Linked DNA regions of Caenorhabditis elegans. The protein of the gene in region 3 interacts with the protein of the main gene of each other region in a pairwise test. Each region holds a gene or a part of one and is shown on either strand. Other genes may lie near its edges.

The links.
Region 1: the proteins of tam-1 (region 3) and src-1 interact in a two-hybrid assay, tested with the Caenorhabditis elegans proteins (one large-scale study listed by BioGRID).
Region 2: the proteins of tam-1 (region 3) and pha-4 interact in a two-hybrid assay, tested with the Caenorhabditis elegans proteins (one large-scale study listed by BioGRID).
Region 4: the proteins of tam-1 (region 3) and vab-3 interact in a two-hybrid assay, tested with the Caenorhabditis elegans proteins (one large-scale study listed by BioGRID).

What each region holds. Positions count from the first base shown.
Region 1 is NC_003279.8:1,564,795-1,571,292, forward strand, and holds the start of src-1 (Tyrosine protein-kinase src-1), read left to right. Parts: upstream 1-2,814; coding exon 2,815-2,891; intron 2,892-5,542; coding exon 5,543-5,887; intron 5,888-6,498. UniProt on the Caenorhabditis elegans protein: Non-receptor tyrosine-protein kinase which plays a role in endoderm development by controlling spindle orientation in EMS blastomere, probably downstream of receptor mes-1.
Region 2 is NC_003283.11:20,750,245-20,759,703, reverse strand, and holds the start of pha-4 (Defective pharyngeal development protein 4), read right to left. Parts: upstream 6,653-9,459; coding exon 6,611-6,652; intron 4,364-6,610; coding exon 4,124-4,363; intron 3,176-4,123; exon of another isoform or gene 2,967-3,175; intron 2,795-2,966; coding exon 2,729-2,794; intron 2,671-2,728; coding exon 2,544-2,670; intron 2,281-2,543; coding exon 1,860-2,280; intron 1,548-1,859; coding exon 1,121-1,547; intron 1,061-1,120; coding exon 897-1,060; intron 58-896; coding exon 24-57; 3' UTR 1-23.
Region 3 is NC_003283.11:4,956,789-4,965,105, forward strand, and holds tam-1 (RING-type domain-containing protein), read right to left. Parts: upstream 6,315-8,317; 5' UTR 6,207-6,314; coding exon 6,171-6,206; intron 6,115-6,170; coding exon 6,003-6,114; intron 5,281-6,002; coding exon 4,655-5,280; intron 4,612-4,654; coding exon 4,405-4,611; intron 4,256-4,404; coding exon 3,310-4,255; intron 3,159-3,309; coding exon 2,339-3,158; intron 2,286-2,338; coding exon 2,198-2,285; 3' UTR 1,815-2,197; downstream 1-1,814. Other genes in the region: str-208 (Serpentine receptor class r-10), read left to right, coding at 41-232, 281-368, 459-672, 727-868, 1,377-1,784.
Region 4 is NC_003284.9:10,497,576-10,503,890, forward strand, and holds the start of vab-3 (Paired box protein 6 homolog), read left to right. Parts: upstream 1-2,314; 5' UTR 2,315-2,530; intron 2,531-2,662; exon of another isoform or gene 2,663-2,718; intron 2,719-3,512; exon of another isoform or gene 3,513-3,619; intron 3,620-4,554; exon of another isoform or gene 4,555-4,660; intron 4,661-4,995; exon of another isoform or gene 4,996-5,136; intron 5,137-6,072; exon of another isoform or gene 6,073-6,191; intron 6,192-6,315.

The DNA.
Region 1 (6,498 bases), on a different chromosome or scaffold from region 3:
GCCATATTCTATTCCACTTCGGCACTTTCCAGTATTTGTAGCCGGGGGTCGGCGGCAAATCGGCAAATTGTCGGAATTGAAAATTTCCGGCAAATCGGCAAATTGCCGGAATTGAAAATTTCCGGCAAATCGGCAAATTGCCGGAATTGAAAATTTCCGGCAAATCGACAAATTGCCGAAATTGGAAATTTCCGGCAAATCGGCAAATTGCCGGAATTGAAAATTTCCGGAAAATCGACAAATTGCCGAAATTGAAATCTTCCGGCAAATCGGCAAATTGCCGGAAGACAATCCCTTCAGAAAAATCCGGTAAACTGCCGGAATTGAAAATTTCCGGCAATTTCGGCAAATCGGCAATTTCCTGAAGTTCTCAAACGGCAAAATTCCCATTTTTCTGGAAAATCTATCCGTTTTCTCATGAACTTTTCAAACGAGAAAAAAAAAACGGAAACCTTCCATTTTCTCACATTCCATTTCTCCCTTCTCCTCAACTCTTACACACATTTTTTTCCACTTTTTCTTCTCTAATCCTCTTGTCATTTACACTATTTCGCCCTCCCGTTTAACACTATCATTTTTTTTTTCAAAAAACAAAATTATCTTTGTGTGACTCACACAATTTTTTCTTAGAAATTAAATTTGTTTTAAAGATTTTTACAAAAATTTGTCACAATTTTCAGATTTTCGTGTTTTTTAAAAAGAAAATCGGAAAAAAAAAGTGGATTTTAAATAGAAAAATTAACAAAAAAAAACCGAAAAATATCGATTTTGATCCGAATCAGAAAAAATAGTTTTTTTAAAGGAGGTGCAGTCGAATTTTTTTGAAAATTTCTTTGCTAGCCTCAAAATTGTCTGAAAACACCGAATTTCATAGTGAAACTTCTTGAAAACTTCTCCAAATACCGTATTTCCTCTATTAGTTAGGCACCTCCATTAGTTTTGCATCTAAAATCACTAATCGAAAATTAGTTTTGCACCCCCTCAATTTGTTCCCTATGTTTAGGAATTCAACATTTGCATTATAAAATCGTTCTAAAAATTAGGAAAACTCTTACAGACTTGGTATGACAAGTCAAAATTGACAAAATATGAGTACAATTCGGACAATTTTTGCGTATCAGTCGTAAAATTCGTAAATTTTCGATCATAAGTTGTTATTGAAATTGATCATAACTTAATGGAAAACATGAGAAAAAACCTGTTCGAAAATTAGTTTTGCATCAAATTAGGTGTCCGAAAATTAGTTTTGCATGCCTTACTAATAGAGGAAATACGGTAAAAGTTATGGCGGCTCAAAAAATGGCCGACATTTTTTTAAATTTTTTATCCAAATTTCGCCGTCCATCGACTTTATAATACCTAAATGAAGTTGAAAACGCAGGATAATTACATTGTATACTCAAAATTTGACGGTGAATTCAAAAAAGTTAATTTCCAGCCGCTTGACAAGTCGGTCAAATTTCAAAATTTAACTTATCTTAGGCCATTTTTTGAGCCGCCATAACTTTTACCGTATTTCCTCTATTAGTAAGGCATGCAAAACTAATTTTCGGACACCTAATTTGATGCAAAACTAATTTTCGAACAGGTTTTTTCTCATGTTTTCCATTAAGTTATGATCAATTTCAATAACAACTTATGATCGAAAATTTACGAATTTTACGACTGATACGCAAAAATTGTCCGAATTGTACTCATATTTTGTCAATTTTGACTTGTCATACCAAGTCTGTAAGAGTTTTCCTAATTTTTAGAACGATTTTATTATGCAAATTTTGAATTCCTAAACATAGGGAACAAATTGAGGGGGTGCAAAACTAATAGAGGAAATACGGTATTTGGAGAAGTTTTCAAGAAGTTTCATTATGAAATTCGATGTTTTCAGACAATTTTGAGTATATTAAAGAAATTTAAAAAAAAATTCAACTACACCACCTTTAAATACAAAAATACTGATTCTGTTGGGAAAATATTGTAAATTTCTTCAAAAAATTGATAATTTTCGCGTTTTTTCTGAATAAATTCCAAGCGTCAGAGTTTATTTAAAACATATTTACTACCCCTCCATTTTCACTTTTTCCTCTAAAATCTCGTTTTTTTAAAATCAAATTCCCGCCAAAATTTCCTCATTTTCAGAAAAAAAACCTCGAAAATAAGAAGAAGAAGCAACCATTCCATATGCATGCTCAATAATTGTTGTTTGCACAAAAATACTGGTGTCTTGTGTGAGTTTTTTTGGAAAATTCAGAAAATTTTCACTGAAAATTACAAAACCTGACAATTTTTGAATTTCGCGACGATTCAAGTATTTCACATGGTGTCAGAGTGTCACATTTCGGCTTGATCTACGTTGATCTACAAAAAATGCGGGAAAACGGGACGCTGACTTCTCATCTGATTTTGTATGGTTAAGACCGTCCTGACGTCACATTTTTTGGGCAAAAAATTGCCGCATTTTTTGTAGATCAAACCGTGATGGGACAGGCTGGCACCACGTGATATTTGCAAATTGTAAATTTTAATATATATTAAAATTAACAAATTTTTTGAAATTTGTTTGAAAATTCTGCTTGTACAGTCTTTTTTTGCAGTTTTCCAGTTGTGGAAATGTCAAAAAAAAATTAAATTGACAGAGATTTTTCAGTTAAAAAAATTTAAAAAAAAAAAACGAAAAAATTCACAAACAATTTTTCGACAAACCGGCAAATTGCCGAAAATGAAAATTTCCGGCAAACCGGCAATTTGCTGATTTGCCGAACGAACGAGGCAACCCCAGTAACATTTTCCTGAAATAATTTTTTTTCAGAATAAATAATGGGTTGCCTGTTTTCAAAAGAGCGGCGATCGGGAGGCAGTGATATGGGTGTTTCCGAACGGATAGATGTCTCCAGGTAACTATTTTATAGAGAAATGTATTATTTTTTTGGAGACAATCAACTTTTTTTTTAGATAAAAAGTGCAAAAATTAAATACAGATTTGAAAAAAAACCGATTTTCCGGTTTGGTTTAATTTTTGGTAAAAATTTGAAATTATTGATTTTTAGTTAAAAATTAGAAATCATTGATTTTTCGATAAAAAATCATAAATTATTGACTTTTCAATTAAAATAGGAAATTTAGCTATTCTAAATCTACATAAAGCATGATATTTTATGCATTTACATGGTGGTGAGCGGAAATCCCCCGTTTTGCCGGAACTTTTCAATTCCGAAAATTTGCCCGTTTCACATTTCGATAATTCGGCAGTGATCAACAGTTGTTAGATTTTCGGCATTTTCTCAGCAAGTAAGTGCCCGATCCCAACAAATTCCGGCAATTTGACATTACTGAGTTCCAAAGAATTTTGAAAAAAAAAACGAGATCCCTACTGTAGTAAATGTTTTTATTAGAAATTTTTTTTTCTGGAATTTTTTAATCGAGACTGAACTCTTTTACAATTTCGAGTGTATTTTTTTGGAAAAAATGTATAGAATTTAAAAATGTATCATTTTCTCTGTCCCGTCTTTTTTTATAGAAAGTTTGCTTTATTTTTAGGCTATTTTTAGGCCAATGTTGTTTTCTAAGCCTAAAAATGAAAATAGTATTAAGATGAACATGTGCATTAAAATTGAAATATTGAATGTTTAAAATTATTTAGTGCTCACTTTTTCCGAAAAAAAAAATATATAAATAGAATAATCTCAGAAGAAAAACTATGGCATCATTTTTGCCCAATTAGATGCCAACGATGTCTTTAAAAAATTATATATATATATATATATATATATCTTTTTTTTTAAAAACATTTAAAGACATCTATTTGGGCAAAAATGATGCCATAGTTTTTCTTCTGAGATTATTCTATTTATATATATTTTTTTTCGGAAAAAGTGAGCACTAAATAATTTTAAACATTCAATATTTCAATTTTAATGCACATGAGAATGTTCATATATGTACTTCCTTTTCTATAAAAAAAATTTGATTGTTTGCCCACCTAAAAATGCACTAACAACGCGTCAATTCGCGTATTATATTTTTTTTAAAGGTGGAGTAGCGCCAGTGGGGAAATTGCTTTTAAACATGCCTATGATACCACAATGACCGAATATCATGGTTAAAAAATTCAAAAAAAAATTTCTAAATTTTATATGATTTTTTGAAAATTGAAAAAATCTCAGTTTTGCCTAATTTTTTGTTTTGCCTAGATTTGTTCGGTGGAGCGCGCTTGCACGCTTTTATTTTTATTTATTGTTATTTTTTTATATTTTCCACCGATTTTCAATGTTTTCAGTGTATTTTTGTCTGAAATTTGAAGAAAAAGTCAAAATAAATGCAAATGTTCGATTAAAAAGCATTTAAACGACGATTTCGAAACCTGAATTAATTAATTTCAAAGATTTACGCTTGTGAAGTAGCTTTTTAATCAAAAATTAGCATTTATTTCGACTTTTTCTTCAAATTTCAGACAAAAATACACTGAAAACATGGAAAATCGGTGGAAAATATAAAAAAAAAAACAATGAATAAAAATAAAAAATGTGCAAGCGCGGCGCTCCACCGAACAAATCCAATTGGGGGTAATTCAAAATTCAAATAGGAATTATTAGGCAAAAATCTTTTTTTTACCATTTTTTAATTTTCAAAAAATCATATAAAATTTTTTTGAATTTTTTTATCATGGTATTCGGACATTGTGACCCCATCACTGCAACTTTTTCCTCACGAGAGACAAGGAAAAGTGGTTTCTAGGCCATGGCCGAGGGGCCGACAAGTTTCAGCGGCCATTTATCTTGCTTTGTTTTCCGCCTATTTTCTTTCGTTTTTCATCGATTTTTTTCGTTTTTTCTTAATAAAACTGATAAATAAATATTTTTTGCAGATGCTAAAACAATTTCCAAGTAAAAAAATCATGTATTCAGTGGGCAAGCAGCGGTGAAAGTAGTCGATGTAATATGATGGATTACGGGAATACAAAACCTAAACTTTTTCTGAAACATGATACATATGATGCTTAGATGCTTAAATTACCTGATTTTCATAACGAGACCGCTGAAAAAGTTTTGAGGTTTTCAAAATTCAATTGTTTTTGGTGAAAAAGTAGAGATTTTCGCACAAAATGTTGAATTTTAAAAATCTCTAAACTTTTTCAGCGGTCTCGTTATGAAAATCAGGTAGTCTCAGCATTTAAGCAGCATATGTATCATGTTTCAGAAAACGTTTAGGTTTTGTATTCCCGTAATCCATCATATTACATCGACCACTTTCACCGCTGCTTGCCCACTGAATACATGATTTTTTTTACTTGGAAATTGTTTTAGCATCTGCAAAAAATATTTATTTATCAGTTTTATTAAGAAAAAACGAAAAAAATCGATGAAAAACGAAAGAAAACAGGCGGAAAACAAAGCAAGATAAATGGCCGCTGAAACTTGTCGGCCCCTCGGCCATGGCCTAGAAACCACTTTTCCTCGTCCCTCGTGAGGAAAAAGTTGCAGTGGCTACTCCACCTTTAATTATTTTTCCATTTTTTTTCCGTACACTTCCCCCATTACCCAAAAAGATATCCACGCAGATTCCAAACGCCCCAACAACAGACAGTATTCCACGTGAATAACGGTGGAAACGAGGGAACCATCTCTCAACTAAACGGAACATCAGACGGAATGATGGGAAATGGACGTGGTGGTGGTGGTGGAGGAGGAGCACAGGAACGTGAGACTCTGGTCGCCCTCTATCCATACGATTCACGTGCCGACGGGGATCTTAGCTTTCAAAAAGGCGATGCTATGTACCTATTGGATCATTCGAATTGTGATTGGTGGTATGTTCGACACCAACGAACCGGACAGACTGGTTATGTGCCGAGGAATTTTGTTGCCAAGCAACAGACTATTGAGAGTGAAGAGTGAGTTGCATTGTTTTTTTTTGTGGTTTGAAGTATTATATAAGTGAAATTTTGCAAGAATATCAACAAAAAAAAGAGCACAGATTAAGAGCACTAAACCTCTATTAAATTAATTAGTCTGAAATAGAATAATTAAAGTGGACTATTTGTGAGAAGAGTTTTAAAGCAGAGGTGAGCGGATATTTTCTAATAATGAATTTATCAATAAGTATTGATGTAGTTATTCAGGAAGAAATGTATCCGAACCAAAGAGTAACTATTAAGCAACATTTTAATATGATAAAACCTAGAAAAATTCTACAAGTTTTCTGTATAAACGATATGCAAGTCCATTATCCGATATCCGTAATATCCGTAATATCCGATATCCGATGTTGCTCGGCGAATAAGTTTTAAGGTCTCGGTAAGGAAAACTTGTAGAATTTTTCTAAATTTTATCATATTAAAATGTTGCTTAATAGTTACTCTTTGGTTTGGATACATTTCTTCCAGAATAACTACATCAATACTTATTGATAAATTCATTATTAAGAAAATATCCGAAAAAATATCCGCCCACCTCTGTTTTAAAGGTGGTGTAGTCGAATTTTTTTTATTGCTTAATTAGACTC
Region 2 (9,459 bases), about 16 Mb from region 3:
AGGAGAACGTGTGAATTGGAGATTTATAGGTTGGCGGCCGAGTTCGGGTTGGTGGAGCTGAAATTATTTAAATATGGAACTAGGCTTTCTATCGACTTTTTTTGCAACGGGCCATGTTAATTATATTTTATTTTTAGGTGCATTTTGCATACTTTCATAGAACCCTTCTAAATAAGCCCCAAAAGTTTTAGCGGCAGAGGAGCACTTTGAACTGGATAAAAGTCGATCTGAAATTGCTATCAGTGCATTTTTTAACTACTTTAGAGGCCCGTAAAATTGCTCCAAATGATAATTTTGAAAATCTTCATTCAAGTATTCTAGACGCTTTTTGGAAGTTTTTTTTTTTAATAATCTGAAAAATTCCAATAATCGAAACAGTCCAAAAAATAATAATCGAAACAGTCCAAAAAAAATTTCCGATTGTTAGCCGGCTCCTTAAAGACCAATAATTCATTGAAAGTGTGCAAAAATTTACACCTGAAACATTTTTTCGGGCCTCAAACGTTTTGAAATTTTCACTGAAAAATTTTCAGAGCGACTTTTTTGCAGCGCAGAGTGATCCTCTGCCGCTAAAATTTTTGCAGGGGCCTATTTAGAAGGTCTTCTTTCAAATGACATAAATTTTATTCAGAATTCCGGGATTAAGTTGAAATACTTTCCTTGATAATAAAAACCAATACTATCAAATTCGTTAGTACTTTTTTAAATCTTACTATTATGACCGAGTAGAACCAGACTCCAATTTTTACTAAATTGAAATTTATTGTTAACTTCTAAAACATTCAAAATAATCATGAGACCGTAGAAAATAAATGATGTGTTTTAAACAAGGAAAACAAACGAAAAAAATTAGTAGGGGGTCAACAAAACATCGTTAGTTATACCATCAGACATACCTGTAAAGAGTATTCTGGTATACTCCGTTGGTGTAGTCAATTCCTGGATAACTGCTCGTTGTGTTGTAGAGTGTGTTGTTCAGGAAATTCTGGGATTGTGGGAGAATTGTGGCAAAATCCGAACTGTAGAGGTAAGGAGACGCGTATTGACCATTGAGTGTCATCTGAAAAAATTCAAAATGGGAGCTTGAAATATTGTATTCACTGGCTAGATTTTATCTTACCTGTGCTTGCGTGGTTCCTAGTGTGCCAACACTTGAGATCACTGAAGTAGGTTGACTGTGATTAACAGCCGACGGCGTTCCCGATGGGTCAATTAGGCCAAGATTGGCAGCAGCTGCAGTTGCATCTTGCACAGCTTTCAGCTCTTCCTTGATCTCCTTCTTTGTAGAAATTTGAGGGATCAGAGAATAAGCACCAAGTGATGATGTGGTCGTGATGGATGTTGGATCCTCTTCTTTGATTTCCATTTTTGGAATGTGTTGTTGTTGATGCAATTGTTGGGAGTTGGCATTTCTCTTCTTTCTCGATGGCTCACGTTCCTTGACCTTGAATCTCTTCTGCCTACGGAGGTAGCATCCATTCTCAAACATATTCCCACAGTGCTCGTGAAGAGTCCAGAAGGATCCCTTTCCAGGCTTGTCAGGGGACCTGAAAATTATAAACTTAGTCTTTGTAAATCGTTTCCGGAAAACATCCATATAGATTTTTTGTCAAATCTTTTCACTAACGCGCACCCTCACTCTCTCCGGTAATTTCTCATTTCAACAGCTTCACGCATCAATGGGTGTCCCTTGGGCGCACGGTATAATAAATGTGGCGCTGCAGAAAAGGTAGTCCTTGAGATAAACTATATAGGTTCCGATTATAATAGGAAATGATGGTTTTTGTGGGAAAACAATAAGAAGTTTTTTATCGGGACAAAACGTGTCCAGAAAAAACTTTAATTTTCAAGACTCTTACCTGGCAACCTTTACAAAGCAATCATTGAAGGAGAGGGAGTGGCGAATTGAGTTTTGCCATCTTTGTTGATTGTTCTGATAGTAAGGGAACAAATCCATGATCCAATTGTAGATTTCAGACAATGTCAATTGTCTAGAATTAGACTTTTGAATTGCCATAGTAATTAAGCTAATGTAAGAGTATGGAGGTTTCGATTGTCCATAAGTTCCATGTCTTCTGATCTTTTCCGTGACAGTTTCAAATTCCTGAATCGTGAGTTCTTGGCCTTGCCCTCCGCTTACACCAGAATAAGACCTATCGGCTGGCGATGCAGCAACCGTCGAGCTTGATCGTCCATTGCTTCTTCCGATGACCGCTGAGGCGGACGACGTGGCCACGGAAGCGGCCGCTGTGGTGGCTCCGGTGGTGCCAGTGGTAAAACCTGAATGAGATCAAATTACAAATTGTGTATAGAGAGCGCCACTCAAGGTAGGTATGAATGAATAATGGATACTCATTTTGTGCTTGGGAAATATTTAGAGCTTTCAGAGTGAAGAGTATCTCACAATAATTTATTTAATCAGGATTGTCTATAGATATAAATTCATGCATTGTCTTAACCGTATTAAAAATAATTATATGCTATACTGTTTTTATGTATGTGAGAGTTAGTATTTAGACAATTAGGGATATTTTAAAACTTACCAAGAGGTGAAATTCCTCCTCCTTGCATGAAATTGGCTGGGCTGATGTAGTTCGATCCGAGCTGATTAGCAGTGGCATACTGGCTGTAGTTGTTGTAGTTCAGAAGTCCATTGGCAGCAGTCTGGTACTGAAAGTAGAATGGATGTTATTAGACTTATTAGTGAGAACAGGGTCAAACTTTTTACCTGATATGGTTGGTAGTTTAACGTAGTATTAGAATACGTCGGCAGATAGTCCTGAGCGTTCATGGCCTGCAAGAAAAAAATTGAAAGTTTGCTTTGAGGTCTGGGATTATGTAAATATTTAAAGATAAATACAAAATGTGTGTGTGTGTGTGTGTTTATAACAAATAACAAATATTTAGAAAATTCGGAAGCCCCACACGTGGAGCTAGACATGGAAATGAACAAATAAGTCCCGTTTGACCTCTGAACCTGAGCCTTGGAAATTCCTTAAAAAGATGATGCTCAAAGGTAAGTAGAACGCCCCGTACTGAAGAAGAGAGGTGAAGGAGAGGCTAGGCACTAGAGCAGCGGGACTCCGCCTACCTTGCCCTCCTATGCGCGTGCGCACCGCCTATCGCTTAGCCACAGTAACCCCGTCGCGGACTCCGCCCATTTCGGATTTTTACCTTGTTTTAGATTTCAACTGACTCATGGCTGAAAATAGTATAGGTGTTTCACTAATTGTAATCTCCACGTGGTGCTTTTTTAAGAATTCTAATTTTGGTTGTGTGTGTGTTTGTGGACGGTGGGGGGGGGGGGGGGGGGGGGGGGGGGGGTTCCTCGTCGTCGTCGGATAAATAAATAGAAATTGAATAAATATTTGGCTTCTTGGGCAACACGACGCCCAGCCCCTTCTTCTTTTGGTAGGAGGACCTCACAATTTCTATTTTCTTCTGGACACCATCACTTTGCTACTTTTTAGCTACTTTTCTAAAAAATTTTACAAAAAAAAAACTAACTGCTACAATTTTAAATCGAATTTTTATTAAATGAGGAGTACCGAAATCTGAGACTTTGCTTTTTTAACCCAAAATGACGCAAAACTACCGAATTTCATAATGAGACGTTTTAAAAATTTCTCAAAAAAAAGCTATGGCGGTTCAAAGTTCTAGAAAAAATTTGCCCATTTTCAGCTAAAATCAAATTTTTTTTGCCAACTTCTTGGTGTCACAGCGTCTTGAACATAATCCCTATTTGGTTATCACTCTTTAATTTTTGGTTGATTTTAATGTTGAGCCGTATTGGACCTCAAAATATTTCGCAATTCTAAATTTTGGTGATATACTCAGAATCTGGGATTGAATTTCAAAGAAATATTTTCGATTTAAAAAATTGATTAACGAATTGAAATTTTAAAACTTATTGCAGAAACTAACAAGTTAAACAGAAGAATAAAAAAACTAAATGACTCACAGTGCATTTACCTACTCAAAAAATTAATCATCAAAAAGATACGCCAGACGGTTATACAACTAGCCATATGGTTTTTTATTCTGATAAGCTTGGGTTAAAAATGACGATTATTATTATTACTTTATTTTTGACACCCTACCAAATTTGCCGCACCATACCTACCGTATAGTCTACACTTGAAGCAGCCGACGACGTGGCAGGCACCTGATTTCCCGTGTCGGAGGTCCCAGAAGTGGTTCCATTTGGCAACATTTTATGTTTCTGCTCGCGTTTTCGATTCTTCTCGGTTTCCAATAACTTTTTATTTTCCTGTTCCACAGAATCTTCTGAATCCGTTGAATTCGTGGTTGTGGCTGGCTCGGCTTCAGAGTCAGGTTCCGACTCTGGCTCCTCTTTGATGACCTTCAAACAAAATAGTTTAATTTTTTTCATTGTTAAAAAGTTCTCAAATTTTTCATTGAATTTTCCAAAATATCTCTTTTCCACTTGACCCAATTTTGTGTCCTAGCCTAGCACGTACTAGGATACTAAGAATGAGGTGGTGTGGTATAGAATTACATACAAGTGGGATAGAGGAGGGAGGAGGATTCAGATGTGAAGAAATTGAAAATATGTCCGGGGGCAATTTCGGCGAAAGCTTAAGGGTTGATGAGAGGAAAAGCGGCAAGGAAATCTCTTAAAAATGCAATATATAGCACCAAATGATACAAACGGCAATTTCAAGAGCTGAAGAACGATGACGAAATGAGAGTGGGTTGGAAATAGGTTCGGGATGCGAGGGTTTTACTACGTGGCGGCGAAGTTGAAAAAAAAAACTATCGCTATTTTTTTAAAAACATGTGAATGTTTCAACAAAATCTACAAGAGAAATCTTAATTTTTTTTCTTTTCTTAGACCACCTTATCAATACCGCTATGGGTCCTCTCACATTTTTATTAAAACTTTTATTATTGATTGAAAAGAGGCGTGGTATCAATCAGGGGTGGGCGGCAAACAATTTTTCCGGCAAATCGGCAAATTGCCGGAATTGAAAATTTCCGGCAAAGTGTTTCGGTCTTACGAAAAAATCCCTCTAAACATTTCCGGCAAATCTGATATCCGGCACCGGCAGTTTGCCGATTCGCCTTTTTTTAAAAACTATTTCCTTTTACTATTGCCGCCGTTTTTAGTCCGATTTTGAATGGTTCTTTCAAGCAAATTTTGAATGAATATTTCTGGGTCCAGATGTTCGCCCTAACAGTCGTTTTTTCCAGCTGTGATTCAAAATCGTAAAAAAACTTGAGACGACTATCATCCATCTGCCGCCTATTTTTTAGCACCTGTTATTATTGAGCATTAACTGCGCTGACTCATTATCTTATACACTTCTCCAAAATAATCAATAATCGTAAAATAGAGTAGAAAGCAGTGTAGGCGGAAGAAGAGGTTTCTTATCAATACTCACTCGATATGATTTCATTATTTCAAAATAGGTGTAGGTATATTAGAATCAAAAAGTGTGGGACGTTTTTAGGAAAAAGAAAATTCATGTCTATAAGAATAGTAATTGTAAAGTGAGAAAAACATTTTCCATGGTAAATCCAAACTTTTGAACCCCATTTCGTCATATTTTGTTCTAAAAAAATTAGGTTCGTCTTGAAGCTTATCACATATTTATCACTGAAACCGTGTGAAACGAACATGGCAAATAAAAGAAACAACAATTGGCAAACAAAAACTGATATCACATACACACTGCGAAATTGTCAAATATTTGCATGGGAAGGAGGAGCGAGAGAGTAGAAAAGAGCACAAAATATACGTCTAGGAGGCTCCCATTTTTGGGTGGAAGCTTTCGGAGCCACTGGTGGTGGTGCCCCTTCGGTGAATATCGCATTTCATCCATCGAAACAAAAAATATTTGGATGGCCCGAGTTTTGTTTTTGGAGCATTTTTTTCGGGAGCTCTTATTATCGAAATATGAAAACTTTTAATTTTCCACAGTGTTTCAAAACATGTTCAAATTGTTCCATAGAAATTTTTTCTAGCAAAACGAAGAAAAAACTTTGTGCGTGGACCGTGAGAATCAAATTTTCATTGTATCTCTCCGAAAAGAGAATCGATAAAAAAATCTTAAAAGAAAGTTTTAACAATTTCACTTTTTGAGCCTTGCATATTTTAAGAGTTCATGACTAACATTCAAATTCCAAAAAAGCTATTGAACTTAGAAAAAATGTATTTAATGTCATTAAAAAAGTTTGTAGTGATGTTTGAAGAAAATATGGTAAGCTGAACAATAACCTAAACTATTTCTGACAAATCACAGATGTTCATGATATTCTCAAAATGTGCATCTTCCCAGAATACCAATGGAGCAATAATAGGTGGCAACCTAGCATCCTGGCCGGGTCATATTGACATCGAGTATCCCCTGTTAATGAGCACTTATGTGCTATTATACACAGAAGGTGCTCATTTTCAGATTGTTTCAGAAGAGAAATAGAAAGGTAGCTGCAGAAATAGATTAAACATGTGTGGCAAAGATGGTTGTAAGTTTTTAATTTCGAAAAAAGTGAGCATACAGCCGGGAGCTAACAAAAACGTTTTCAGAGGCCCCGAACAATTTTAAAAAAAAACGATGCATGAAGCAGAAAATAACTGGTGCCTTACCCTTATATCAATAATGTCCTCATCACTGGATGGCGATGTCATTGTATCTCAAATTAGATAGTCCTTCAAAAAATACGCAGTGGACAGATAGGGTGTATAAGGTAATATTGGCTGGGGTTGGGTGATTTTGTTAGGTCTCTTGATACGACTCTTCGTTATCAACACTGTGACAGTGTGATGGTGATGATGGTGGTGTAGAAGGGGGCTGTATGGGAATGAGTAGAAGGGAATGGACATAGAGACGCAGTAACACGAGAGAAAAAGAGCACTGATTGATAAGAGAGTTTGACACGGACACCTGGAGACAGCGATCGTCACTCTCTGCTTCTCTACTTCTGCAAGCCTCCTTTTTGGGTTGTGGAGGGAGAGAGAGAGACTGAGTGATCGGAGACCGAGAGCGGGCGCGGTGCCCTTTTGAGTCATTTTGTACAGGCGTAGGGTGGTGGAGAGGGGAGATGGTGTTTCTTTGAAAAGCCGTCTGAGCAAGGGTGTTTAGTGACCCAGAATCGTATAGTGGTGTAGAAATGGAAAGTTTAACATTGAACTCCAAAAACTATCATTAAGCTCACAATCAGCTAATCTCAACTCTTCCTAATCATGTTTTAATATCTCATTTGAAAAAATGAAACCGTCCAATCTCCCCCACGACAATAGGAAAAATAAATTTCTCACCCTCAACTGCCATTCTTCTTCTTCTTGCCTTTTTCATCAACACAATTTTGTGACTGGTACAGATACATAAGAGGACGGACGCCGCGCGCGCGACATTTAGATACGTTATGGGAGCAAGATAAGGCTAGTTGTGTAGCAGTTAATAGCAGTTAAGAATTAGGTAGTATTAACAAAGGGCAATTTAAAAAGATATCACAAAAAAGTATAATATATTTTTTGTTTCAGTCATTCATACAATGTCCATTGGTCCGTTGGTGTGTAAGACTAAGAGACTACAAGTTTTATTGAAGGCACAGTACTAACTTTTGAATTTTTGAAAACCTTGAGAAAAAGAATCAAGCTTTGACAAAAAATTTGCTTGATGCTGTTTTAGGCACGAAAATTAAAATTTTCACAATTTTCAAAATTTCAAATCGTTCCGATTTATTTTTTTTAATTAATAGATACGGTACATCTGGTAACAAGTCTGTGCGAGACTATTAAAGTGTTCAATACTGGTATAATAATTACTGTAAATCAAAAAAAAGCAATAAGAAAGTTAAATCAATGAGACGCTAATACTCCCAAAAATAACTTGGAACAGGTGAATCATTTCAACGATTCACAAAAAACAGAGTTCAAGTTCCGTCTCATTGATTTTTCATTGCATACCACACCCAAGCATCCGAAACTAGTATTAGGTTCAGGAATGACTAATCTCCCAATGGATAGTTACTGTATCAAAAGAGACGTTCACAGCATTGCCCTCTCGTTGCTCCGTCCATCAAGGGCACTGATAATGAGGGTTATCAACATAATAGTTACAAAGACAGGAAAGTGACCAATAAGTTAGATGGTCCATTATCACCTTTTGACAAAAGTTTAATGGTTCCGCTTTCCGCATAGCTCATCGTCGGTAGAATCTTTTGTAACACTATTCTTTAGGCCTTTGCTATCGTTTCTTTGTTAAGGGGAATAGGGATTACCAATCTTTTTTTTTTTTGATTTAAAAATCCAAAAAATTATGATTTTCCCAGATATTAATACAGCCAGCTGTATGATCTTATTCTCAGCACCTCTGTATTCACTTTCAGAGACCTATAGAGACCTATTGTCCGGTTAAGTAGTCGCACCCATGTGCGATTTACAGATATAATGCATGTGAACAACATGAACGCAGTTATGATAGTCCTATTGGCGGGCTAAAAATCTAATCTTTCTTATCAAGGGCCATGGTATAGTTTTTCTGATAAGAAATGACTATAACTTTTATATAAATGCATTAATAAAGTTTTTGGAAATCTTTACATCCAATCATTATTTGTCTTTCCCATTCTACCCAACACTTTAATATCTATTCAGAAACTGTTAATTTTCAGATTTTTTCAATGAAAACTTAATAGATATAGGAAGTATCTGATTTGGAAAATTTGGGATTTAATTTTTCAAGACATTCAAACATTTCGGATTCGAAACAAATAATTTAAAATGAAAAAAAAATTGGTTTATTTTAAGATGAAGTTTTAGAAATTAATTTTTTCAGATGTGACTTTTTTGGACAACTAGAGGCGGGTTTCACTTCACTGGTTGTTTTTTCATCTAAACTATCGATTTCTTCTAAACTTGTCAGTAACAGCTAAAGAAATAAGCTCACAGTCCTGAATTGATCGAAGGAATGGATAAATTCAGAAACAGAGGAGCATTTGCCAGATTAGCTGTTAGCAGAAAAATCGATCCACTTCTGGTGACAACCTATTTGTCTGACCGGGTCAAATGTGCACTGAGTACCCCCTGTTGCTGAGCACTTAGGTGTAATAATACACAAAAGGTGCTCATTTTCAGATTGTTTCAGGTGTAAAAGTGGAAAGTTGAACTTGTCTTACGAGACTAGCCATATGGAAAAGACAATGAAAATGGTGCAATTAAAAAGGGTTTTTTGAGAGAGAGAGAGAGAACATGTTTTTCCCAGGTTGTCTGAATCAGGTTCATATAAATTATTTTTTCTCAAGTCATCAGGACTTAAAATTTGAGGTTGCCATGTAAGAAGTTTTCAATCGTCTAACTCAACTTGTAAGTATTAAGAAACGAAGAGGGTCACCATCTATCTCTTATTCAGGTAGCCCTTTGCCATCAAAGAAAAAAGCCGACAAGTTAGACAAGGGAGGCTACTTGTACTACTTGTAAGAGGTAAACCACGA
Region 3 (8,317 bases):
TTAAACTACTATTATTCTGATTGATAATAAAATAAGAATTATGTCTGAATGGCAAAAACTCCAAAAATTCTCTCAAATATTCGGAGCTTCAATTTCACTATTCCTAAACTCGTTGGTGGTACTTTTAGTCGCAAAAAAGTCTCCAAAAGCGTTGGGTACATACAAAAATTTGCTTATTCTAATTGCTATGTTTGAAATTATCTATTCGGTTTTAGAGGTTCTTGTTAAACCGGTAAAAGCTTTAAAAAGAACATTCAACAACTTTTTTGTGCTTTTTCAGACTTTTACTTCTTTCGGCTCAACGTTTGTGATGATTGTGAATGTCAGAGATTCTTTGTTGAGCTATGATGTTTTGTTACTTTTAGTTTGTAAGTTTATCAAAAAGTGTATAGACAATCCACCGGGCTGATTTGCCGAGAATGCCTAGGTGAAATAAGAATGGAATATTTGATTTTCAGCCCTGTGTTGCGCATTTTTTGGATCACTGATGGTCATGTTCAGCGTACAGTTTATATATCGATTCTGGGCAGTGAGCGGCAACAATTCAATCAAAACATTCGAAGGAGTCAGAATATTTTGGTGGCTTCTACCATCAATATTAGTTGGAACTATGTGGGGTATTGCCGCGTATTTTCCTTGCTCACCGCGACCGAGTACTGATGCGTTCCTAAGGTAACACCTTCCAGTATACATTGATTTACCCCGAACCTCGTGACATTTTTTCAGAGAATTTATTTTGAAAGAGTTTGGTTTGGAGGTGACAGAGAATGTATACATTGCGCCGTATTTTTATGAAAAAAATGAAGATGGTACTACGGACATTTACTATCCATCTTTTGTGACAATTTTTGCAACAACTGTGACTGTGGTGAGTTGGCAGATTTACGCAAGAATTTTACGAAAGTAAATACTTAAAAAAAAATGATCCGTAATTTTCAATTCTTGTCGTTTTTCTTTTTTGGTTTTTTCCTGAGTTTCAGATTATTAGGCTTAGACTTAGGCTTGGTTTAGGCTTAGTCTTAGGCTTATGCTTTTGCTTTGGCGAAGGCTTAGTCTTCAGTTTTGGTTTAGGCCTTGCTTAGGCTTACGCTTAGGCCTATGCTTAGGCGTAGGTTTAGGCTTATGCGTACGCCTAAGCTTAGGTTTAGGCTTAGGCTTAGCTCAAAACTCAAGACCAACCAGTATGACTCCAAACATAAAGATTAACAAGAATTGAAAAATTTTGAGTTTTAAAATTTCCTGTAATGACATTTTGAATTTAAATAAATATTCTTGGAGTATTTTCAATATTATTAACCGGGTTAACCGGATTATTAACCGGATCAATATTATTAATCGGAATTTTTTTTAAATAAATCTTCTAAATCTTCTTTCAGATAATTTCCGTGTCTGTCATTTTTTATTTCGGTTTTAAATGCTACACATCCCTTCAGAAATTCAAAGAAATCGAATCGTCGAAACACATTCAAAATCTGCAAAATCAATTGTTCTATTCATTGGTGGCTCAAACACTAATTCCATTATTTCTGGTGCATACTCCAGCATTTGCTTTATACACATTTTCATTTCTTCGAATAAATATCGGCTCCTTAACTGGAATTACCACAATAACAACTGCCATTTTTCCTGCACTTGATCCTCTTCCAACACTAATTATTGTAAGAAGCTATCGAAATGCAATTCGAGAATCGATTTCTTCCATATTCAATTCATTCACTACAATTTTCAAAAAGTCACATGGAAATTCGATTTTACCGGTGCAGGCTCGCACGGGAACTGTTTGAAATTTTCCATGTTGTCACGTGCATGTTCAATAAATGCTGAAAACTTTTATGATGAAAACATTATTAGCGAACATACAAAACATTATCTTGCAATCCTTAACAAGTTGAAATATATCAGATGCAAGTAGAAATGAGGCTTACAGAAAAAAGATGTAACGAAAATCGAAATGATAAGTGTAAAGCGTGTAGAGAAAAAAATGATCCGCAAAGAGTTTTAGAAGATACCAAGTATATAAGAAGAAAGAGGAGAGAGAGAGCATCTAGCATCTAAACCGTAGAGAATTCATGACGGTGAATAAAAGGGGAAAGAATGAATGGGGGAAATGTGCTTTAGAACAATAGGTGAAAATTATGGACAAAAATCAGAATAAAAGCATGGATGAGGTGATTAGACGAAATGAGAAGATTATTATTTATAGACGAGTTTGGCTACGAGTTGTTGGAGCAGACGACGAAGGCATTCCATTAGAGGAAGACGATGCAGCAGAAGTACCACGACGCCTAAAAATCGATAATTAAGAAAGTCAATATCGCCAATTTCAATCTCAACTCACTTTGGCGCACGATGAACAGGATCGACTGGTTCAGTTTCCATTTGTTCTGGTTCTTCAGTCTTCGGTTTTCTATCAACCCTTCTTCTTTTGTTTCCAGGTGGTGGAGTCGGAGAATGTGGTGGGCGATTTGATGGACCGGCGGCTCCAGAAGACGTGGATGGTTCATCAGTCGGATTGTTTGAATTCCTGGCAAGCCTGCGAGCAGAGCGTCTTGTTTCAACTTCCGAAATGTGCGCCGCATCTCGTGGGCGCTGGACGCGACGACGAACAACTGAGTTACGAACATGAACTTCTTCTTCCTCGTCGTCCTCTTCCTCGTAAGGCAGATCACCGTCGTCTTCCTCCTCGTTCTCGGCTTCGTGATCCAGTAAATTACGCTCCCGAACATCTTGCTCTAGAGCATCCTGATCCGCTGCTTCTTGGAATTCTATCGCCGCTCTGTGGAGCACCGGCTCAAATTCCTCGTCTTCTATCGCATCGACTTGCTCGCGCATATCATCAAACTCCACAAAATTGTTAATCTGCGGTGGAACATCATCGAATTGTTCTTGTTCTTCAACGTTATTCTCCAGAATTCCATTATTATGGTCCACATTACCATCAACATCTGGCTCTAAAACCACGGGAACTTCTTCGAAATGAATGACATTATTGATATCTCCGGCACGATAATTCTCAACGACTTGTCCATTAACAACAACTTGCTGATCGACTTCCGGTTGTTCTTCCTCCACTTCCTCAACTATCGGTTCCGGATGAAAATTGATTCCAAAATCGCCGGCGCCTCGTTGAGCAACTTGTATCTCTTCCCAATCGGCACCTAAAATAATTTTTTTTGTTTGCGAGAGAACCTTGAAATCATACTCGTTTATGTTTCGACACCACAATAAGAATCAACAATATATTACAATACCAGTATAGTCAAAAATTAGTATTATTAGTAGATCAAAAAATAATTGCATGCTACTCACGAGGAATGTCAGCGGGTGCTGCTGGATCGACAGCATTTTGTACCATTTGATCCTCCGCCACGATTTCATCAGCCAACTGTTGGAATTGTCGATCGTTCATCGCTTGTAGATCAATTTGTTGCAGTTGCTGCTGCTGCTGGATTGGCGGTCTGAACGGTTGCGCACGTGGTTGCGGCTGTTGTTGCTGCTGCACTTGAAGCTGCTGATGATACTGCTGCATCTGCTGTTGATGATTCTGTATACGTTGTGGTGGTGGTGGCGGTGGTCCCTGTTGGAATTGCTGCCCTTCGTTGGGATGACGTTGCTGCTGCTGTTGCTGTGGATGAGCTGGCATTTGCGGTGGCATCGGAACATTGGCATTGTTGTGCATATGCTGTTGGAATGCGATTTGCATGTTTCCATGCATTATATTGTTCATGTTCGGTTGCTGCATTCGTTGATGCTGACGCTGCATCTGATCTTCCACCTGATGCATCGGATGATGTTGCTGATGCATATACATCATACGCGGTGGACCTTGTTGCATTTGATGATGCATCGGTGGAGGATGGCCCATAATGTACTGTCCCGGGCGCCCACCAACTTGAGCCATCATTGGTTGATTCATCCGTTGTGGTTGTGGACCTCCCCAGAGCCGTTGGGCCTGCATATGTTGTGGTGGAGGCATCGCGGGTGGAGGCATCACAAGTTGATGTGGTGGTGGTGGTGGGAGAAATGGAAGATCCTGCTGCTGCTGGACTCCTCGCGCCTGACGATTTCGATTACGAGCCACTTGTGCGAAATGATTGAGCGCGCCTCGTAAATTTCTGGCATTCTGTGGAATAGGTCTGCCTGCTGCGGGAGCTGCGACCTCGTTCACTCGTTCGGCTCCTCCCTCCGAGGCAGGAATCTGATTCACTGAACCAGTAGGCTCGTCGATTTGGAATCCCATTTCTTGCTTGAGTTTCTGAAAATAAAATCCTGAGTGTGGAGAAACGTTTAAAAAAAAAATAAAAATTTGTTTTTTTTTACTTTCTTTCGTGTTCCAGTTGAGCGAAAAAAAAATTGTGGAACAAGATTGTTGTAGATTTTTGTATATTTTTTTAATCAACAAACCTCAAAAGGATCCCAATAGGAATTGAACGCCGATTCGATAGCCGTAAGCATCACATCAACACGTCCACCAGCTTCCGAGTAGACTTTTGAAATTTTTTCCGCCTTTTTCACTTCCTCCATCAGCTCGTCCATTGTCGAATTCTCCTTGATCTTCGAATCGAATGTGCTGAGCATGAACTCGAAGATTTTGATGAGCGAGGTGAGCTTCTGAAATTTTTTTTTTTTTTTTTCTATGAACTCTGAAACTCACATCTAAAGCTTTTGCTTCTATAGTTCCACCAACAGATTGCAGTCTTGGCTTCAAATTTTCAAGCGATTGAAATGCAGCATGTGATGCATCACTGATCTTTTGCTTCATCTCTCGAACATCATCCGACGTCAGCGCCTTCTTCTCAACCAGCTGATGTCCATTGTGCAATCGGATCGCGCATGTCGAACAGATCTTTCGGCCAGTCTCCTCACACTGTGAACAATCGAAATAGACACCCTGACTGAGAACAGCTTCACACTGATTGCACAGCTTGACCAGATGGCGATCCTTGAAGAGTGGAGCAACTTTTTGCACAATTTCCTGAACTCGATAGTTGACAGGTAGGCCATCCGCCGGCACCAGCGTCGGCTTTCTACACTCTGGACACTTGATCTCTGTGGCGCGAGCTTCTGGTCCACGTCTCGGTAGGACTACAATTCCACGCACCATATTCGGATCGTTTGGGTTCATTCGTGGATCTAGACGGGGAAGATCTATGAAATGTGGTTGATCTTCCTGATCGGCAAACCCGCCAAGGCCTCCGAAGCCTGGACCTATATCGTCGGGATGTAGAAGTGGGCCACGTGGGCGGCCGAGTTCTTCTGCCATGTTGGTTTTCACTTGATCTACCTGTAATTTTAAGTTTCATTGGAGATGGAAGAAGTTAAAAATATGAAAATTTGCTAGAAAATAGCAAATTTATTTTGTAAAATAAGGTTGCCACGCGTTTTCTAGAGGTCACTTCAGGTAAATTACCAATTTTATCACGTTTTTTATCAAAAAATAGTTCAACATATAGAAAATCAGTTGATTTATCTGAAAATATCATTTTTCCACATAAAATCTCAAAGAAAGTGCTCAAAATTGGCGAATTCCTCAATGTTTCAGCTGAAATAAATGTTACTTCCCGATAAACCAAGTGATTTTCTATATTTTGGCATTAATTTTCATAGGAAAACGTTTAATAATTGCAGAAAATTGTGAAAACTTTCAGAAAAACATAAAAATCGTTTTTTTTTTCTCAAATTTCAAGAAGAAATTGAACTTTTAAGTGGAAAATCAGTAAAAATATATGAATTTTAGCTCCAAGCGTCTCAAAATCACTGAAAATGTCAGAACAATGACATTTTTTAAGTCGAATTTCGAGAAAAAGCGTGGTTTTAACTTCAAAAACGCTTTAATGACATGAAAATGCCTGAAAATGTGATTTGTATCTCAGAAATTACCTTTTTCTGTTAAAAAAAAAGCAAAAAACTGAGAATTTTGTTTAAAAAAACGGCAGAAAATATAACTTTCCCTTCAAATTTTGACCATTTCGACCTGAAAAAGCTCAAAATTATCAATCAACCTACCAATCTTCCAATACACGTTGAGCATAGCGTGTGTCCGCATCCCATCTGCATCGGTTTATCATAAATGTTGTAGCAAATCGGGCATTCGACGACGTGAGCCCATTGTTGCTGAAAATTCAAAAATTATATTGATTTTAATCATTTTTATTTTCACACAAACTTACATAATTACTGGTACCACTTGTGCCCGGAATGTCCATTATTGCTTTTTATTTATACAAAAATATATTCAAATATTCCAATAAAAATGTGAATAATCGGTTTTGAACCCGATTTGCCCGTCAGGCGGAATCCAAATTACCCTGAAAAAAAATGAGAAAAATCAATAATGTTTGAAAAACGAACGGGGAGAACGCTGTGGGGCGTAGTTGCAAAGAATCAAAAAGTGAGAGAGGAAAACGCACAGAGAGAGACACAGACAAAACAAGCACTTTGCGATGAAAAGGGGCTTTTTGGGTGGATGAGGATGAGGGTGCACGAGAGATGGCGTGTTTATGATTGAGAAAATTGCTGTCTAAATCAATAAAGACTGGAGGAAATTTGTTTTGTGAGTGAGTGATCTCTTTTGATGTTTTCGCTGTGAAAAATACGAAAAGACTAAAAAATTTCGAAATGCTATTTACGAAATAAGAAGAATCTCGCGCTGCAAGAAAAAAAAAAGTTTGTTTTTGTGATATTACGAAAAAAAGACTGAAAAATGTCATTTTCTGGGCAAACACACGAGAAAATATTGTAAAATAATTTTTTTAAGTTGTATTCAGGCATTTTATTGATGAAAATTGATGATTCATCGGCGGAAAAGTGGAAAAAATCGGAGAAAAAGAAAAATAAAAAATGTTTATTAATCAACCGTAGTTTGATCATGGCGAGACCCAAATTATAAATTGGGTCATGCGCCTTTAAAATGTACGGTAGGGTTTTGCGATTTTTTTTTTGAGTTTTGTGTTAAAAATCGTATTCTATTTTCAAACTGAATTCAAATTATTGAATAAATGAATTTAAAACATACTTCCAAAATTTTTTTTTGTAAAAACTATGATTCATTGACGAAAGTTGGAGAAAAATAGATCAATTTCGGCTTAATCATCAACCGTAGTTCAGATCGTGGCGAGAACCAAATTCAACAATGGTCCATGCGCCTTTAGAAATACAGTAGTTTTTGGCAATTTTTTGAAAAATTGCGAGATTGAATGAATAAAAACCCAGAAAAATAAGAGAGCCGACGAAAATTAAAGTGAGAAAAGAGTGGAAAGAAGAAGAAGAGTCGGGTCATATATTCATCAAATTGTGCGTGCATGAATCAAGTGAAAAGACAACGCGTCTATTCCTCGCTTCGATTGTTTCAGGGGGGACCACGATAATAGGATAATAGGTCTCGCAGTTGGAAAGAAAGAAATGGTGACGAAAAACGAAGACGGAAAATCGATGAGAATGGTTGTCTGTCATATGTGTATGTGTGTGTGTGTGTGCACCGGGATAATCTCCACCACTTCTCTATTGGTTTACACCGAGACGGGGGGAAGAAAACGAACCTTCCCGTCCGGCAGACACATCCCACGGGGCGGCAGCAGCCACCGAGGGTCATGATTATTTTTCATTGAGCTCTCCGCGCGCGAGCCGTGGTGGCTCGGATTAAAGCAACCACCACACAGCTGCTCGACAGAGAGCATGACTTCCTTAAAGACAAAAGGTGTTCGGTAATTGCGAAGAATACATAACAGCAGTTGGACCAAGACACCGGAGGGAATGGAATGCAAATTGAAGTGCTGGTGGAGGCTCAATTTAGATGATTTTATGGCGAGAGGAGAGAGGTTGCAGGCGTCGAAGAAGAGGCAACTAGAGAAAAGGATGGAAATTTAATAAAAACGTTGTGAAGTGAGAAGAAGAAGAAGACCGATGATGACAGACGAACGAATACCTCGGCACCGTCGCTCTGATGTTTGACAAAAACATCTGTGTGCTTAGAGACGCAGAATAGGTCAAATCATAATATTGATTCTTATCGTCGTCTTTTACGTTGTTGAGAGAGAGAGAGCATGTTTCTAATTCCGCTAGGAAAACATTTCAGTTGACAACAATACTGATGCAATGTTATTATTTTGTGATCACATTGATTACACATCAATAACACAATTGCGTAATAGCTTTTAAAAAGGAAAATAACAAAGAGAGTGGCATTGTGCAACAATACAGAGTGTATGTGTCTGGAGACTTGTGTGGTGAGGATGGGGGTACAAAAATTTCCATTCCACTCGTCTTTCTAATACCCTCTAGGGGTCTCTTTTGACAAAATGCATTGAAAATGATAAGA
Region 4 (6,315 bases), on a different chromosome or scaffold from region 3:
ATTTAGTGTAACTCTTACGCCCGCGACAATGTCCTTACTAACTCCCAATCAAATACCACTACCTAAATTCACATCCAAGTGCTTACTGACCAAAACGTCATAAAGATTGGAGATGATGGCAAAGTTGTAGACGTAACAACTATGCCTCTATGGACTTGGCATCTTGCCCATGCTACTTACAGGCAGAAGATGGCATAGCACCTCCTCTCCCTCCCATTTTTTTAGACGCACCAATTCTGGTGATATATACTTGGCACATATCCAATACTACTTGTATGAAGTACGGAACAAAGCATTCATTTTTACAAAAAAACCAAAGAAACAAATAAATCCATACAAATAAAACAACTAAAATTCACGTTTTTGTGGTTAATTGGAATTAAAAAAATTACAACATTTTGGGGAGAACGAAACCCATAAGTACCAAAGTTTCTACTGTTATAAACATTATTCAACATTTTTATATGTTTTAGTAGTAAAAACTTCAAATCGTTCCTTTTCAGCAGATTTGGAGCTTTGTGTTGGAGTTTTTGGTGTTTGACCTTTAGAATATTTATTACAGAGTTTTAATAAATCAAATTGTCTATTGTATGTAGTTTTTTTTTTGGTTTTACATTTACTGATTATTAGATTAAAATTAAATAATTCAATTTTGAAAATTCAGAAAAATAGTTTTGACATCCTCTACTACCTTTTTTTCTCATTTTATCTTTAAAAAATTAATTCAGGGCGATCATTCCCGCCAAATACGGACATGAATCCCATTTGGTTACCAAAAAAGTGCGGCGGCTGTCGTTGAAAATAAAAAAATCCAAAAAGTGGGAAAACGACATCTTCTGTTCACTCATGCGTACAGAATCTCCAAAAACATTTCGCCGTATTCATTTTTGGCGTGATGTACCACATATGACTTGGTCCAGATAAAGGTACTGGTGTAAATTTGTCTGTTGTGTAATCGGCATTTGACGCTAGCTTCTTGCCCAAGTTTGGCAAAAAATTTCAACTTGAATCACAACACGATAAGCTTGGTTTGGACTGTGTTTAAGTTTACGCCAAGTTTGATCCAAATAACAGTTTTTAAATAATATTTTTTTTAATTTTTGGGAAAAACGCAGGTAACGCCAAATGCCAAGTATAATTATTTTTAGACAACCGTCTAAAATTTGGAAAATATATTTTTAATACAAAAAATCTTACTCCGAGATTGATAAATGTGGAAATTTTGTAAACTACGATAAAAAATGCAAATTATTCTTAGTGTGTCAATAAAATTTTTCTATTTACTTTTCACAGTCCCAGTACTTGTTTCCTGCCAGATTTTCTCAAATAGGACTGACACCTGAAGCGGAATAATTTGCTATTTGACTTCCGAGCCCTCGAATTCTGGCGGGCGGTCCAACAAGAAGAACCCTCAATATTCCGTTAGTTATTTGTCGTCTCTGAAGACTTTATTGTCGGATGCAGCGATACCGTAGTCCGAAGAAAAGAATAGAAGAAACTGACAATGAATGGAGAAGTGGAGTAAAGCCAGCTACAAGCAGGGCAGAAAATATAAATGAATAAGTAAAGAAATCAGTTACAGAAAAGTGACATTAAATTTTTTCCACGTATCAAATTATGAAAATTATTCATAGCGAGGTTTTTTAAATGTTTAATTTGCAGTTACACTGCTTGAATCCGAATATCGATGCGGTTGCATTAATATTTATGTATAAGGAATCATCAAAAATAAAAGCAGTAGCTGATTAAAACTTATTTTTAAATCAGATATGTGGTGCATCTCCTTTTCAGAAACCAAGTAGTTTTGTTCGATCTGTTAAATTCTGTTAATCACAATGGTTCAGAATGTCTGTAAACATGCTTAGAAAACTAATGAGGTCGGTGGAGCAGAAAGTCTGTGAAAACTTCTAATTGGAATCAGGTGCTGGCAGTGAAATCACAAAATATCTTGGTCTGTACACCGGGCAAGAGCATGCCTACACCCCGCGAGTTTGGCATGGCTAATCCCTTGTTTGACAGATGTTCAGGGGGAAGGAGCTACCACTGAATAGTTTCCACGTGAGTAGAAATTGATTCATGTTCATAACATTGATGGCAATGTATTCGAGAAACAATGCCCATCTGCCACAAGTTGCAAAAGGTAGATTGTGAATAAAGCTGCGCATAATCCATAGAGAATATGAATGAAAACTCCGCCCATTTCAAAGAAGACGATTGGCCCGAGAATAGAAGCAAAAAGTCAGCGGTGTCCTAGGTGAGACAACGGAGAAAACGTGTCCGGGCGCGGCTCTTTTCAATTGTGGACCGAGAGGGAGAGACGTCGACGTCTTCTTTTTATGTCACACTATATCGTTGAAATAGTTTCGCGCTTTTTTGTTCTGTCCCCCGAAAGTTTGTTGGACAGTTAGATACTGAGGATCTCTTATTCTAACACTTCCAATATCTACACTTACACTAAATTTTACGCTACACAACACCAAAATCCGCGAGTATTCAAATAGTGACGGTCGAGTTGACAAAAGTGAACGTGGTGAGTTAAACTCTTGTTGGGTAATGAGTTAGCAGAAAATCAATAAGATGGCGAGCACTTTCAGATGGGCGTGCTAATGAGGTGGGCATGGGCTAGAAGTAAGAACTACCCTTCTTCGTCGGCATATATTTTCTCATTTCAGTCTGTTGCCTTTCTGCTGATTATCATTAGACTTTCTTGTTGAGTAGATAAATTTTGATGCCTCATTGACAATCATAAATAATAGAGAAACAATCGATATTGTCATAATGATAACAAACTAAGTAGGAATAATGTAGAACTGGTTATATTTTGAATAATTTCAAAACTCTTTGGTCTTTAGGCTAAATATAGAAACCGAGTCCTTCTCGAAACATTGATGTCGTGGGCTGCTATCATGTGTCTCCTATGACTTCAAACTTTTCTGAAATTACGTTACCTAATTTTTTTGAGCTTTCATGTTGTATCACAAAAATTTTTCATTCTGCTATAATTTTTCACAGATAATTGTTTGGTTCTAAATTCTGGGCAAAGTTTCAGAATATATTTTGAACTTTAGAACTGAATTCTTGAGCATTTCTGATTTAAAAAATCTTTTTGAACTTTTGCTACAACTTCTTTTCTCTACCATAAAATGTTTTCAATCTTGTTCGATGCTTCTACAAAAACTCCAACATCAGGAGCCATGCTTTCTCCTCCCACTTATGTTATTCATTGTGTATGTACATCCGCATGTGTCCATCATTGACTCCAAATTCCATTAGCCATCTACCGTATCTGGATTTCCGGTGTGTGACGCCGACTCCATGGCCAACACAGAATCATCGTAATTCTCCCCGCAATCTACATATCGCTACTCCAATTTTCGAATTTTGCCCCGTGTTGCAATTCCAATGCATTCAATCAAATTTAAAAGTTTTGATGATTTGTCTACTCATTTTTCCCACCCGTTCCGTTTTCTCCATGTTCAACATTTTTGTCGCCACCACCATCACTGAGAGGGGTTTTTGTAATTGGCTTGAATTGACACCCATTAACCGGCACACCCGCTGTTTGGAAGATGTCATAACGAAAACGTCGTTTGATGGAGGTCTTTGTCCGCGCCTTGTTTCCCTGTCCCTATAGTTGAAGGTGTTCGCCATCAGGCACCACTACTTTTTTGGCGCCCCTCTCTTTTTCTCTCTCGTCAGTGTCAAACGAGTAGTTGAAAATTGTGCTATTCCAAATTACATGGAGCCCCACTCCTCTGACCCGAAAGCCTTTCCATCAAATTTCGTTTTAGTAGATCTTTTTAACTTGTCATTATGCTCCTTTGGATAAACGATTTGGCTCACAGGCAAAGCATTTTCAACTGTGGGGACATTCCGGAAACACTTAGCCAATTGATAATGACAGTCCATCGATGAGTTATAAGATATGTTATCAGATGTACAAATCTGACACCCATACAACAGTCCTCACCTCGCTCTCGTCGTCATTCAGTTGCCAAAATCGTCATGCCTACTTCCAATTATGCAACTTTATCTTACGGGAAAATCTAATAACTTTTGCATTTCAGCTATGGCACACATGTTCAAGACATATTTTTAAAAAGTGAAAAGGTTGTCGGGAATATATAAAGATAAGGTATTGAAACTTTGGAAGCCCACGTTGAGACACTGTAAATAAACATTCACATTCACAATTTTTATCGTAGTCACTAATGTCTTGTTCCTTTAAAAAACATTTTCAATTTGCGGATTACAGAGGAACTAACTTCAAAAATTAAAAAAAAATCATTGAAAACGTTTTCTAGAATTACTTTTATTGAGTTAGAAAAGTAGAATCATGCGCAAAGTTTTTAAATTGATGTGCAAGAAAAAATTATCTTTAAGCCTAAAAAGCAAAATCCAATTTACGACACTTCCAAACGACAGTAAAAATTTTAAAAATTCAAAACTTCTCTTTTTATTTTTATCCGCAATCTTTGAATCACCAAGACCACTATTATGAGCAACTTCAAACAAAAAAGTTTATGAGTTCAGATGTAGTTCGAGATACTGAGTCATGAGCCTTCTCCTTTTCGTTCTCAAGATTTTGATCTCCTCAAACCGAGCTGGGTCCATTTCTACAGCATTGTTCTATTCTTTTGTCAAATTGGCTTTTTTAACCCTTTCTTACCTGCCGAGGCCTTCTTTGTTACCTTCCGATCACCACATCTCGACGGTCCTCCCCTCTTTATCTTACTTGCTGCTAATTACGTGTTCTCGTCAGTCGGCTCCAGGCCCGGATTAACTTTGACTACAAAACATATGTCGTTTGTGTTGTCTCGCTGCTGCATCAATTCTGGGTCAATAATTTGTGATTAGCTACCACCTCCGGTCTAATTAAGGGCTCCACAGGTTGAGGCAGCTCACCTTCTGTTGTTCTTGTTTGGTAATACCAAAGCATCTATGTAGTTAGACTTTTGTAAAAGATTATGAATCAGTGAATCAGTACTTGCAGACAACTGAAAAAGAGTACATGCTTACTTTGACGTTAATGGAACTTCTAGAAGTATCAGATAATGTATTAGAAAATAGGTACCTGATTATCATATGGGCCAGTGACTCGGAGACGAGTGATAAAGTATCACATGTAACTGAGCATGTAGTACATGTACCCTAGAAATCCCACCTTCCATCTCACCTTTTTCGGGTCTTACTTCTGTTATTCTTTTTTAGTTTCCATAATTCACTCAAAACCGCTCATTACCATTACCACATTACTACTTCTCCGCTATATGCATTTGATATTAGACACCAACTATTGTGACCGGTGTCTTCAGTCTTTTCCCGCAATGGAGTAGGTGACTGTCATTATTGTAATTTTGTGGATTGGGGATGTATATAGGTCCATTTACTAATTAACGCACAAAAATTGTTATGGATGCGCCTCGGGTAGCTGTGTCGGCGTGACAGGTTATAAAAGAACAAATTGTTGGACACAGAGGTATACTGTAATAACTACCTCTACTCGTACTATGGGTGACCGGTATTTCGAATTTTCGCGTGCACTTTTTTTGATTTATTTTTCCAAAATAATATTTATAGGTGCAAGCTTTCTTTGAATCTTATTTTGTATCTTTTGATAGTAAACAAACAGCCTTCAATGAGGTAATTTTTTCTATAATTTACGTATAATTTTAAAGTGGAAATTTATTGTTTGTTGTTTTGCTACAGCGAAGGTCTTTGAAATTTGTAGTGCTGCCATAGTAATAGAAGAACTACGCTATGGTTAATTGCTCAGATTGATCCCAAGAGTATTTCAATTGTAGGCGCCAAACTTACTTTGGTGCACATTACTAAATATAAACAGTGTCGCAATACCTTATGACTTTTACTCTCAACATCTTCTCAATTTCTCAATTTACTACTTACCCTCATTTCTCAACCAATTAATCACAATTGAACCTCCACAAGTGTTATTTTTCTCAGAAGTGTCTTGACTCAAGTCAGCGACCATCTGTTATCTTGTGTCATTCATACCCTTATTGAGCCAGTCATTTAGTCAAGACGAGCACATTCTGTCATCCACGCAACTCTATTAAACGCTTATTGTTTGATTGATTACAAATGAATTTAATAGTAGTTGTAGTTGAAAAAGCAGGAACTTGAAACTATGTTGCCCATGCTTGTTCATATTCGATGCACTTCGAATTGTACTCACATTCTGAAAGCGAAAAAAGAAAAGGGAAAATTGATGACAGCTGGTTAAAGAAAGTCAGATTTTGATAGAGAAAGTGTTCGCAAATACTTCAAAGCTGTTGGACTTCATTGATGTCAGCT